3 linked regions of the Arabidopsis thaliana genome follow. The protein of the gene in region 1 purifies or fractionates together with the protein of each later gene. This does not show direct contact. Each region holds a gene or a part of one and is shown on either strand. Other genes may lie near its edges. The genes, in order: ARP7, AT5G57460 and emb1507.

The links.
Region 2: the proteins of ARP7 (region 1) and AT5G57460 fractionate together in Arabidopsis thaliana (co-fractionation; one large-scale study listed by BioGRID). This does not show direct contact.
Region 3: the proteins of ARP7 (region 1) and emb1507 fractionate together in Arabidopsis thaliana (co-fractionation; one large-scale study listed by BioGRID). This does not show direct contact.

Annotation. Positions count from the first base shown.
Region 1 is NC_003074.8:22,472,213-22,475,967, reverse strand, and holds the start of ARP7 (actin-related protein 7), read right to left. Parts: upstream 1,986-3,755; 5' UTR 1,671-1,985; coding exon 1,368-1,670; intron 1,166-1,367; coding exon 1,024-1,165; intron 776-1,023; coding exon 534-775; intron 458-533; coding exon 274-457; intron 189-273; coding exon 1-188. Other genes in the region: PBF1 (N-terminal nucleophile aminohydrolases (Ntn hydrolases) superfamily protein), read left to right, coding at 2,159-2,205, 2,340-2,447, 2,920-3,001, 3,110-3,239, 3,325-3,467, 3,567-3,657. UniProt on the Arabidopsis thaliana protein: Essential protein required during embryogenesis and all plant development stages, probably through a chromatin-mediated regulation of gene expression.
Region 2 is NC_003076.8:23,273,186-23,276,940, reverse strand, and holds the start of AT5G57460 (muniscin carboxy-terminal mu-like domain protein), read right to left. Parts: upstream 1,832-3,755; 5' UTR 1,621-1,831; coding exon 1-1,620. Other genes in the region: XRCC3 (homolog of X-ray repair cross complementing 3 (XRCC3)), read left to right, coding at 2,019-2,933.
Region 3 is NC_003070.9:7,308,490-7,312,244, forward strand, and holds the start of emb1507 (U5 small nuclear ribonucleoprotein helicase), read right to left. Parts: upstream 1,783-3,755; 5' UTR 1,597-1,782; intron 1,442-1,596; 5' UTR 1,426-1,441; coding exon 1-1,425. UniProt on the Arabidopsis thaliana protein: RNA helicase that plays an essential role in pre-mRNA splicing as component of the U5 snRNP and U4/U6-U5 tri-snRNP complexes. Involved in spliceosome assembly, activation and disassembly.

The sequences.
Region 1 (3,755 bases):
AGTCTCGTCATAATCTGCTTTAGTAACGTGCTGATTCTGCGGAAACACCACTTTAGCTAGTATGGCTCCTCCAACCCAAGCCGAATACATCCCCAAATTCTCCGGCATATATTCTGGCGGTTTCACCAGTGTTGGCCTAATGGCAGATGAGCACAAGTTTGCTTCTTTCTGGAATCTACTTTCGAATCCTGCCATCGACCATTCCAACAAACCCTTCAGTTTTCCGACCCAAAAGATATTCAAACACACTATGATATCAAGTGTTGTTAGTACCTGTCATGGAGGTTGTACCACCACAAAGTACAGTGTTCTCCAAGAGCTGCCTATGGTTCTCAGATGACACTGTGGAGATAATCCGGACAAGCTGCTCAACGATTCCATGCTCCTCCAGTCCCAGTATTGATGGCTGAAACAGAGCTTCTCCAACCGAGTATCTCTCTCGCCCGATGCTTATCACCTATAAGGCCATTGGTTTTGTTATCTATATGTATAAGGTAACAACACAAAATGTAGAATCTTGATTTCACACAAACCTGTCCATCAGGAAGAGTATGCTGCTCGATTTCACAGTTTTGGGTTTTTTTGTAAGCAATTTCGTCCTCGGCACAGTTTGCATACTGCTCCTTGAGTTTTTCAACATCAGACATGCTGAGATTCATCGACGGGTTGGTTTTTCCAAGCTCTTGGGCAAATAATTTAGTTAGCTCGGTTCCACCTAGCTCAAACCGTTTCGAGGCAATGTGTTGTACTGCACCTTCAAGAACTGGGGCAATATCTGAAAAGAGTTGGATCAACCACAAAGTTAAAACATCAGACATAACAACATCCTGATCATATCCAGCTATAAACACAAGAAGAATCCAAAAAAAATTGGTTTAACAAAACGTTTAAGATCATGGAAAAAGGTTAGTATAGGGAATCAGCATCTCATGTAACATCATAACTCACATAAAACATGGAATTATGAGTTTATGACAAAGTGAAAGACACAAAGAGTAACAAAGGCCAAGCAAGTTATAATACCTATCTTCCCATGACCAATATCAACAGTGCAACCGGAGATGCGTCCAACAGCATAAAGGGACAACACTGCTTGCTCAGATGCATAAAATCCAGAGACATTGAATGTTTCAAACATCAACTGCACCAATTGCTCCCTAATAGCCTGTCCACAAACAAACATTTGCAGAGCCAAATCAGGTCGAAACATTAAAAATAACAACGTCTTACTATCTAAAATGAGGTACTAAAAGAACAAAATTGTTCCTTTTCATAATCCAACAGAACAGGATTATGGGAATTGAAAAGAGACTCAAAGTTGTAATCTTTTAAATTAAGAACAAAGGAGGAAATTTGGAGATAAGAACCTTAGGAGTACAAAGTGGATCTGTAAAAAGTATATTGCCTTCGTTTCCCTCTTCCCATCCAAGCCCAGTGTAGACAACATAACGCAACAGATCTTCCATAGCATCCCAATCTCTAATCAAACCCCTTTCAATAGGATCAAGAGTGACATCCTCAAAGACAGTGGTGGGGTTATCAGCTGAAGAAGACCCATCATCAACCATTCGTTTCATTTGAGAGGGAATTATCATTGCAGGAGACTGGTCAGGAATTGCTGCTCCTGCTTTCAGGAACTTAGAGCCAGCATCAACAACTAGTGCTTCCATTGTTTTCACACACACACCCAAAAACCCTAAATTCCCAACTTTCCACAAATGCCAAGATTTAGTGGTAGCAGCAAGTCAGTGAAGCTAGAGAAGTAGAAATGAGAGAAGGAACTAGAGTGAGAGGCAAAAGAAAGAACGGTTTTTTCGAAGAACAAATCAATGGTCTAGAAGGGAAAATGGAAGCAGCTTACGAGTTTGCGTTGAGAGAGAAAATCGAAGACGAAGAAGAAGAAGAAAAGAAAAGAAAGATTATTTCTTTGGAATTCAAAGCCCAAATAAGGCCCATTATAAAGCCTATTACAGCCCGTAATTTCCACGTCCAAAACGGTATTGTTTTGAGTCTCCGTCTTTTTCTTGTTAACAAAGCCAGAGCTAATAAGATCCGATTCGGAAGTTTCTTTGACATCAAAACACAAACCCGGAAAGCTTCGTCTGCCATTTTTCATTCTTCTAAGCCCTAGCTCAAAGCTTTCTCTCTCAAATCCGCCATGACTAAACAGCACGCGAACTGGTCTCCTTACGATAACAATGGAGGGTACGGATCGTGTGACCTTTAATCAACCTGCTGGGTTTCTTCGCTTAGTGTCTTTCTTCTTTATTCTGATTTGCTATCTGGGCGATTGTGTTACGATTCACTTACTGTGAATTTAATCGTTGTGTGTTTTTCAGAACATGTGTGGCCATCGCTGGATCGGATTACTGTGTTATCGCCGCCGATACTCGGATGTCTACTGGTTACAGTATTCTTAGTCGCGATTACTCCAAAATCCATAAACTGTAAGTACCCATTCTCTTTCTTCTCTCACTGTTGATTCTTTGGGAGAGTGATTCCATGCTGGCAATCGAACTATTATTGCTGTAGATTATTAGGGTTTTTTTGCAATCGTAATTCGTAGATCTGGGTGAAACCAGTTATATATGGGTGGAGATAAAATAGGTTTCTTAATTATTATTAGACATGGCTTTTGATAGTGGTTACAATTATCTCTATATAAACTTTGTGATTACATTGATCATTCTATAATCCGGTTTATTGCTTAGCTTATTCGTTTTCTTATAACGTTTATTGACAATGTGTGTAGTTCTTTGAGTTTGTTCAACCTTACGTAAAGAGTGTTTGTTACTGTGTTGTTGATCTTATATACCACAAGTATTCATTCGTATGGAAATAGATAGAATTCTCGTGTTTTTCATCTTATGTAACTTGTAAGACTCTTGTTAAGCTGTTGTCTTCTTTTAACTTTTCCAGAGCGGACAGAGCTGTTTTGTCTTCCTCTGGCTTCCAGGCTGATGTGAAAGCTTTGCAGAAGGTTCTCAAATCCAGACACTTGGTGAGTTAAACTTTGGTCGTTTGATCAATTATCTTTCATCCTTCGCAGTATTAGAAAATGATGAAAGACTTGTGTAAGAGTGTTTTCTCTGTGTTTGGTTTCCTTCAGATCTATCAACATCAGCATAACAAGCAGATGAGCTGTCCTGCAATGGCCCAGCTTCTCTCCAACACGCTTTATTTCAAGCGGTTTTTCCCCTACTATGCCTTTAATGTTCTAGGAGGGCTTGACGAGGAAGGTAAAATGCTCCTCTTTTTTTCTCCGTTATGATGTGACTTTAGAAGAGGGTACTTTGTGTGATCTTTAGTCTTGAATATATCCAGGAAAAGGGTGTGTCTTTACTTACGACGCTGTTGGCTCATACGAGAGAGTTGGATACGGTGCTCAAGGTTCTGGTTCCACACTCATCATGCCTTTCCTTGACAATCAGCTCAAGTCTCCAAGTCCTCTTTTGCTACCTAAACAGGTTTGTTGATATTCTTCATTCGTGCTTTTGGCGTTTCGCATTGTAAAGATAAAATGAATCGTTCTGTTGCTTATTTGTTCGTCTTCTGCCACCATGTAGGATTCAAACACGCCCCTTTCCGAAGCTGAAGCAGTTGACTTGGTTAAAACTGTTTTCGCATCTGCCACAGAGAGGGATATCTACACTGTAAGTTGTCCTATTTGTGTCTTCTTTTGTCACCACGCCACCTAAAGCTTGCCTTTGTGCTCATATCATTTGCATTTGGTTCAAGTCTTCAAAATATTACCA
Region 2 (3,755 bases), on another chromosome or scaffold:
GTTTTTCAGAGGCTGAGGTAGATCCGGATTTGAGACGTATTGTATCATAAGTGAGAGTAAAGTCCCGCTGATTCGTTTCACCATTCGGACTCTAAGAGGCAACGGGGTTAGTTTAGGTTGCAAGCTATATTTAAGGATAGGGATTGGTTCTTCTGATGGAGCAGTTCTCACGTGAAACAAACCGTTCCCTAAGCTACTGATCCGAGAACTCTGCATAGCAAATCTCTTAACTGCAGTAGTACCCTCAACACGGAATGAGAACTCAGTTTCTTTCTCTTCACCAGAGCCTTTGGGTGGCATCGTTTTCAGATAGATCACACCCATTACTCCTACTCTAGCAAGCAAGGATTCTCTAAACTCGGTTCTAATTTCCTCAGAGATATACATTTCAGGACCTTTCATCTCAGGCTTCTTAACTAGGTTATCGATATTAACTCCATCTTTGCCTTCCACTGCTTTCGGATCACTGGTGTGCAACAGCTCAAGCCCACCGAGTCCTTCCTTCTTCTGAATCTTCTTTGGTCCCATAAACTCTGAAGGATCCAACCCACCTCCCCAAGCATCACTAAACGATTCAAAAGTTTCTCCAATCGTAGCCTGTTCATTGCTGAACTCAATCCCACCATACTGCCCTTCGAATCCTTCCACATTGATGTGCGTAGACTGTGTTGCCTCGGCTGGAGGTAATGTCGTCACTTCAAGTCCAGCCAATGCCAAAGTCAAATCCGTTGAGGACGGATCCTTAGTCTTCTTGAATCCACCCACAAGTTCTTTCTCCTTGTTAATCGTTTCACTAGCCGCAAAAGGATCCTTATTCTCCGGCTCTGGTTCTTCCTTCAATTGCTCTGATTCAGGCACCACTGGAGCCAAGCTCGCCGCGAACTCATCTCCAGCGGCAACAGTCTCCGGAGGCAATTCAAATCTTGCATTAGAAAATGCGTTTACAGAAGCTTGATGCTCTGCCGCATGCGATTCAACAGCCATCCAACTATCAGCTCCTCGGATCTTATTCTCAGTATCAAGAGCCGAATGAACCATCTTCGCAATCCCATCTCCGTGCATAGCACCAAGCATCGCCGCAAGACGGATATTACTAACACCACGCAAAACAATATCAAGCGCCATATAAACCTCAGCATACTTCCGTCCAAGCTTCTCCGGAGTAACTTCAACTCCACGACAAGCAGTAACAATAACACTAACAGCTTGATTCACAATATGAATACACTCAAATACATTGATCGAATTATCATGATCCGCGACAGTAACACCAAGGATATAGATCGAGTTCACTAATCTATAAACTACACGATACTTGCTCTCAACACCAACAATAACCTGTCCATTAGAAGCAGCGAGTGGATCATCACCTACAAACTCCGCCGCCGTGGCATCGTCAGGATCCGCAACGGAGGAAGAAGAAGAAGAAGAAGAAGAAGCTTGATTCTGTTTCTGATTCGATTGTTGCTGATGCTGCTGCTTCGAGGACGCTAATGCTTGACGCATTTGACGAAAATACGAGAGAGCGATTAAGGCTCTTGCTGGTGGAAACCATTCTCTAGTTTGGAGCAAAATGTCGGATCCATTTGCTGGTTGCAGAGCTAGGGCTAAACACGACATGATCCCGATTCGAAATTGATCTCGAAGCTTCTACTAATGGTGACTATTCAATCTCAATGGTTAGATTGAAACATCTGATGAAGAAATCGATCAGATCTGAGAACTGAGAAGAATCGTCGGAGAAGAAAAGGAGAAAGAGAAATGAGATCTTCGTTGTTTCTTTCGAAAACGACGTCGTTTGTTTCATTACTCGTATCCTACCTGCATGGACCTAATGCGATGGTTTGAAAATAAGCCCAATAGTAGACGTTTATTCTTAACTTATTGGGCCTAATGTCAAGGTAAGAAGCCCAATAATATGATAAAACGATGTCGTTTAACGCGATTAGGTCTTTTTAAATTTTGTAGCGCTTATAACTTTTGCGATTTTTTTTTAATTGGTAGCTTTTGGCGGTGAAATGCAAAATGGGAAAATTAAGCCGGAGAATCTCCTCCGACGATCGCCGACGAATCGTAAACTAACCACAGGCTGTGAAATCCTCGACGGATGTCTTCGCGGCGGAATTTCCTGCGATTCTTTAACCGAAATCGTTGCGGAGAGTGGCTGCGGAAAGACACAGCTCTGCCTTCAGCTTTCGCTCTGTACCCAACTTCCGATTTCACACGGCGGACTCAACGGTTCTTCTCTTTATCTCCATTCAGAGTTCCCATTTCCGTTTCGTCGTCTCCATCAGCTCTCGCACACGTTTCATCAATCAAACCCTAGTATTTACGCGAATTACAATGATAATCCTTGTGATCATGTGTTTGTACAAAATGTCCATTCTGTAGACCACCTGTTCGACATAATGCCTAGGATAGATGGGTTTGTTGGGAATTCGAAAACTAGGTTTCCGTTGAAGTTGATTGTGCTTGATTCTGTAGCGGCATTGTTTAGATCGGAGTTTGATAATACTCCGTCTGATCTTAAGAAGAGATCTTCTTTGTTTTTCAAGATATCTGGGAAATTGAAGCAGTTGGCTAGCAAGTTTGATTTGGCTATTGTGATTACGAATCAGGTTACGGATTTGGTTGAAACTTCTGATGGGTTAAGTGGGCTGAGGATTGGGAATTTGAGGTATTTGTATTCGTCTGGAAGACGAGTTGTTCCTTCTTTAGGCTTGGCTTGGGCTAATTGTGTGAATTCCAGATTTTTTATTTCACGAAGTGATGGTAGTATTGTTAAAGATAGAAGTGAAAAGGACGAGAATTGTTCAAGTTCTGTGTCCAGAAGTGCTAAGAGACGGCTTGACATAGTGTTTTCACCTTATTTGCCTGGGAGTTCTTGCGAGTTCATGATCACACGAGAGGGGATTTGTGCGGTTCAAGCGTAGGTGAACTCGGGTGCTATGTAGGATAGTTTTTGTTCGAAGCATCACCGGATTTTTTGGAGTATTTGTTCATTAGCCATTATTTATGTACATTGCAGAAGGATCCGGAGATGGGTTGCAGCAAAGCCAGGTTTATTTTTTCGGATTCCTCCTCTTGGTTAGATGTGATATGTGCTTGTTTTTAGTTTATAAGCATTCTATGTTCAATTATTCATAATAAAGCTTTTTAAAAGATTCCTGTTAGCTCCTAAGTCTACTGCAAGCTTCTCACTTTGTTCTCTGATTCTCTTTTCTTTGCATCATTGAATTTGCACGAAGTCGAAAATTTCCCACTTGGTTGCTATCTTCAAATCGTTTCATTTGTTGAGTAAATTGCTGATGTGATCTTTATATCTGGCCGTAATATCTTTATGAATAGGTAGTGTTGATCATCCTGGTGGATATGGTTTTTGTATTTATTTTCACTTGAACTCTGTAGCTAATTTCTCGATTCTAACCAGAAAATGACTGAAACCACAAAATATGATGATGCATGCCTTCATAAGTGCCATAAGTAATTAATCTAGTTAACATACTTCATTGTCCTATTGGTAAGCAAATGGAGTTAAAACAGATTACTTGTAGCTAAAAGATCTTTAACACTTCGATTGTTTTCTATTTTTCCGTGGTTATTCAGTGGCAGAGGAATCAACTGCAGTTCGAGAGGATCAATTCAGCCTCTGATGTATACAAGAATGAGAGATTCCGCCTAAGGCTGTTGCTAAAAACAACCATTGAATCATCTGAAGGACACGACGGAGCTCTACAAGAGGAAAAATTTTTTGG
Region 3 (3,755 bases), on another chromosome or scaffold:
AACCCAAGGCACATGAACTTCATCATATCCCTTGCCATGACTTCTGTAAGAGCCAGGGGGGAGGTCACACTTCTTATTCGCCATCAGAAGACCACCTTGGTCAAAAGCCAAGCTCTCCAGGTCCAGCATCTGACGCTGACCCTTCACCCACCCACTCTCTGAATCTCTATCAGCAACATCTCTCCTGCCTCTGCCTCCATCTCCACCAGTTTCGTCCTTCAAACGCCGGGCTTCCTCGTTAATACTTTTTTGCAGGTTCTCCTCCCTCTCTTTCGCTGTTGCTCTTGTTGCATGCAACTGCTCCACAATTGCTGTCAACTCTGGGCCTAACCCCCTCATCTCCTCCTCGATTCTATTCCTCTCTTCCTGGTCTTCTGCCCTAGCCAAACGAGTGCACCACACAACTTTAAGACGGTTACGCAGCAGAAACTTGACAAGGCTAAATTTTTCGTACTGAAGGTGCATAAGCAGCTTGTCCTCAACAACCCTATCATCCCCTTCAGCGAGTATCTTTAGTAGCTCTTCTGCGAGTACCTGGCATTGTTGTGGATCAATCTGCTGTTCATACGCTTGAGAGATCTTTCTCTGGAGCCAATATGCATCAATGTCTTGAACATTAAGATTTGTGCCCTCATTGGCATCTCCTGCATCCTCATCATTTATCCCTGCATCAACCTGCATGCCTCCAGTTCTGGTAGGCTCATCATCCTCCTCATCATCATCCTCTTCAACCATATCAGGATCGCTTTCCTCATCATCTTCTTCATTCTCCTCAAATTCAACAGCCACGCCCAAATCATCATCAAGCCCTTCATCATCATTAGCTCTACCACCACCAGAATCACCACCCTCTTGGAAGTCCGTGATTAACTTTCCAATGGAAACAAGCTGATCAAACTCATGGTTTTCAATCTTGTTCAGCAACTTCTCAATCTCCATCTTTTTCTCAGGGTTTCTAAATGCGTCATTCTTGAGAACAGCCAAAATCTCATCCGCTGCACCACTAACAATACTCGGAGGTTGCCCACCCAACTGCTTCTGGATAAGACCAAGCATGGCTTCATAAGCAGCCCTCGTCTCCTTAGTCTTCGGCTGATAAACCGCATCATCAGTATCAGTCAGCACACTCTCTTCCCTTAGACGCCGCCTCTTACTCTGCCTAATATTTACCATATCATCTACAACATCACGTTCCTTCTTCTTAGACTTTTTCAGCTTATCCTCCAACTCCTGAGGCCTTCCCTTAGCAACACGGTCACCAAAAGACCTCGGATCGATTTTCCCCCACAGAGTTTCCGGTTCTCCTGTAGGCTCATGAGTATCCCGAGGTCTATTATCAGTAGTTAACACCAGACTAGAATTGGCTCTGTACTCATACTGCTTGAACCTGGCATGTGCTTCCGCACCGCCTCCCAAGTTCGCCATCTACCAATCCGAAAACCTAGAAACCAAATCAAACAGGAACAAAAAAAAATACACAATGTTAACCTCAAATCGAAGAAACGAACCAAAAGTGAAACGAAGAAGCTCCCAGAGATGATAAACCCTAATAAAACCACACCCAAATCGAGGAAACGGAGATTAAAAAAAACTTACAGAAACAGCTACGAAAATCTCTTCTTAGCTTCACTCTCTGCAACGAATCAATCCAGTAGAAGAAACCCTAGTAGGAGACTCAGATCTCTCCCTTCTCACGTCCTCTATCTCCTAATAATCGACCTAAATGACTAAAGGAGACACTCCTTCGTTTATTCGACTGCGAATTCTTTCTATAAGCTAGCGATACCGCCTTAAGGTGGAAAACTTTAACGATGCCGTTTTGAAACTATGGATCCAATAACGAAACCGACTCTGTACATGGATTGGGCTGGGCCTGTACATACTTCCTAAGCCCAACGTAATAAGACAATGGTCTCATGCTTTCTTTTGCGTTTGTTAATTTGAGAATGAATGCAAGTGTTTTTGTTTATTATAAGAATTAAAATTGTCAAAATATTAATACCTCAACATTAATAATCGCTGACAAATATAATGTGTGTGTAATAATGAACAAGGAATGGGAAAAACTTTAAATGGTGACAATGACATGGAGGCTGATTACTTTGAATGCAATCTTAGATTAGTAAAAGATGGCACATGTATATGAGACGAAGGTTCATGTGTTATCATGTGAAAACTGGGCAGTCCATAAAAATATCCAAAAAATTTATATATATGTCTTTGTTTATTTTTGTCAAATCTCTAAAGAGATCTATTGATCTTAGTGATAATATAGTTTTCAAACATGCAACACGTATAATTTATAGTTTTGTATTAAAAAGAGTTCTCATGTTATATATCGATATAACAAGAATCAACTACCATAACAACATGACAAAGTACAAGAAAAACTCACTCCATCATTAAAACTCTTGTTTGGAAAGAAAAAAACTCAACCGGTGACTAAATTTTTACTTTCTTTTACTCTTTAAGGAAATACAGAGAATGGTGACAAACAAACAAAACAGTAATTTAATACAGAAAATTGACTAATCACGCATCAGTCATCACATAAGTAGGCGTGTGAAATATTGAGACGTGGAAAATCAAAATGTCCCAAAAAGGCCATGTGTGGAAATCCACGTAACAAGAGCATCATATTCAATTATGTATTTTTGTTTAATATTCTAAAACAAAACTGTTTTTTTAAGAGTTTACCAAGATTAATTAATATCTAAAATTATGCTAAACCACTTCAATTTTTTTTGTTTTAAAGCGATGTTATTTTTGTTACTGCACATATACAACAAAACAAATTACGTATATATAAACAACTAAGAACTCTCGTCCGCCTAAATTCGGTTTAAACATCCATGTAAGCACCTATTGCGGATTAGAGGGAGCATCGATCATGTGACATAGTGTGGCTCCATTATCTTTAAAGTTTTGCCGGAGTTAATTATTTATGACAAAATTGGTGTACTTTATTCCAAGATTTAATAATATTTTTTATTATTTATTTGTTTTACTTAATAATACTTTTTATTCAAAAGTGTAAACACAAAGTAACAATGCCTATGCTGTTTTTTTTCCTATCAATTATTTAACCGCTGCATTTGATTAGTATATATGGAAGGAATATTTAACTACCGATTATCACTTACGGTTGTTAATGACAAATTTTTACAAGTAACAATTGATTTGAAAAAGGTCATTCAGAAAATCATCGCTAGTCTGCCACAAAATTCAAATGTGTTACAATGTATCATAGTTAACTACAAAATCCTTTATTATAACAATAATGGGTTGACCACTATAAATCCTTTATCTTGTTTTATACATTTCGGAGGCTAATTGACATTTTGGTCTGAATATATCCATGCATAATTAAAATTTCGAGTAATATTGTCTCAATATTCCTTCCATATATACTATGAATAAACTATTAGAGATTTTAACAAACCCTAGAAAGTCCAAAATACGTTTTTTGTGAAACATACGAAGAAAATAGATAACATATATGAATAATATGCGTAGAAATATTGACGAAAGTGACGAAATGTAACAGTTTTCGTATCATGTATACGTGAATTTCCATGTCAGGAACCGCTACTAGAATTGATAAGGTCAAAAGATGAAGCTCATCGTGACATTCCACCAACCGAAAGTACTCTCACCGCTTCACGCATGACCCAAATATATACAAAAGTAGAAAAAAAAAAGCACAAAAACAACGTGTAGAGGCGATAATCATAAAATTGAGTTCTTATACCTAT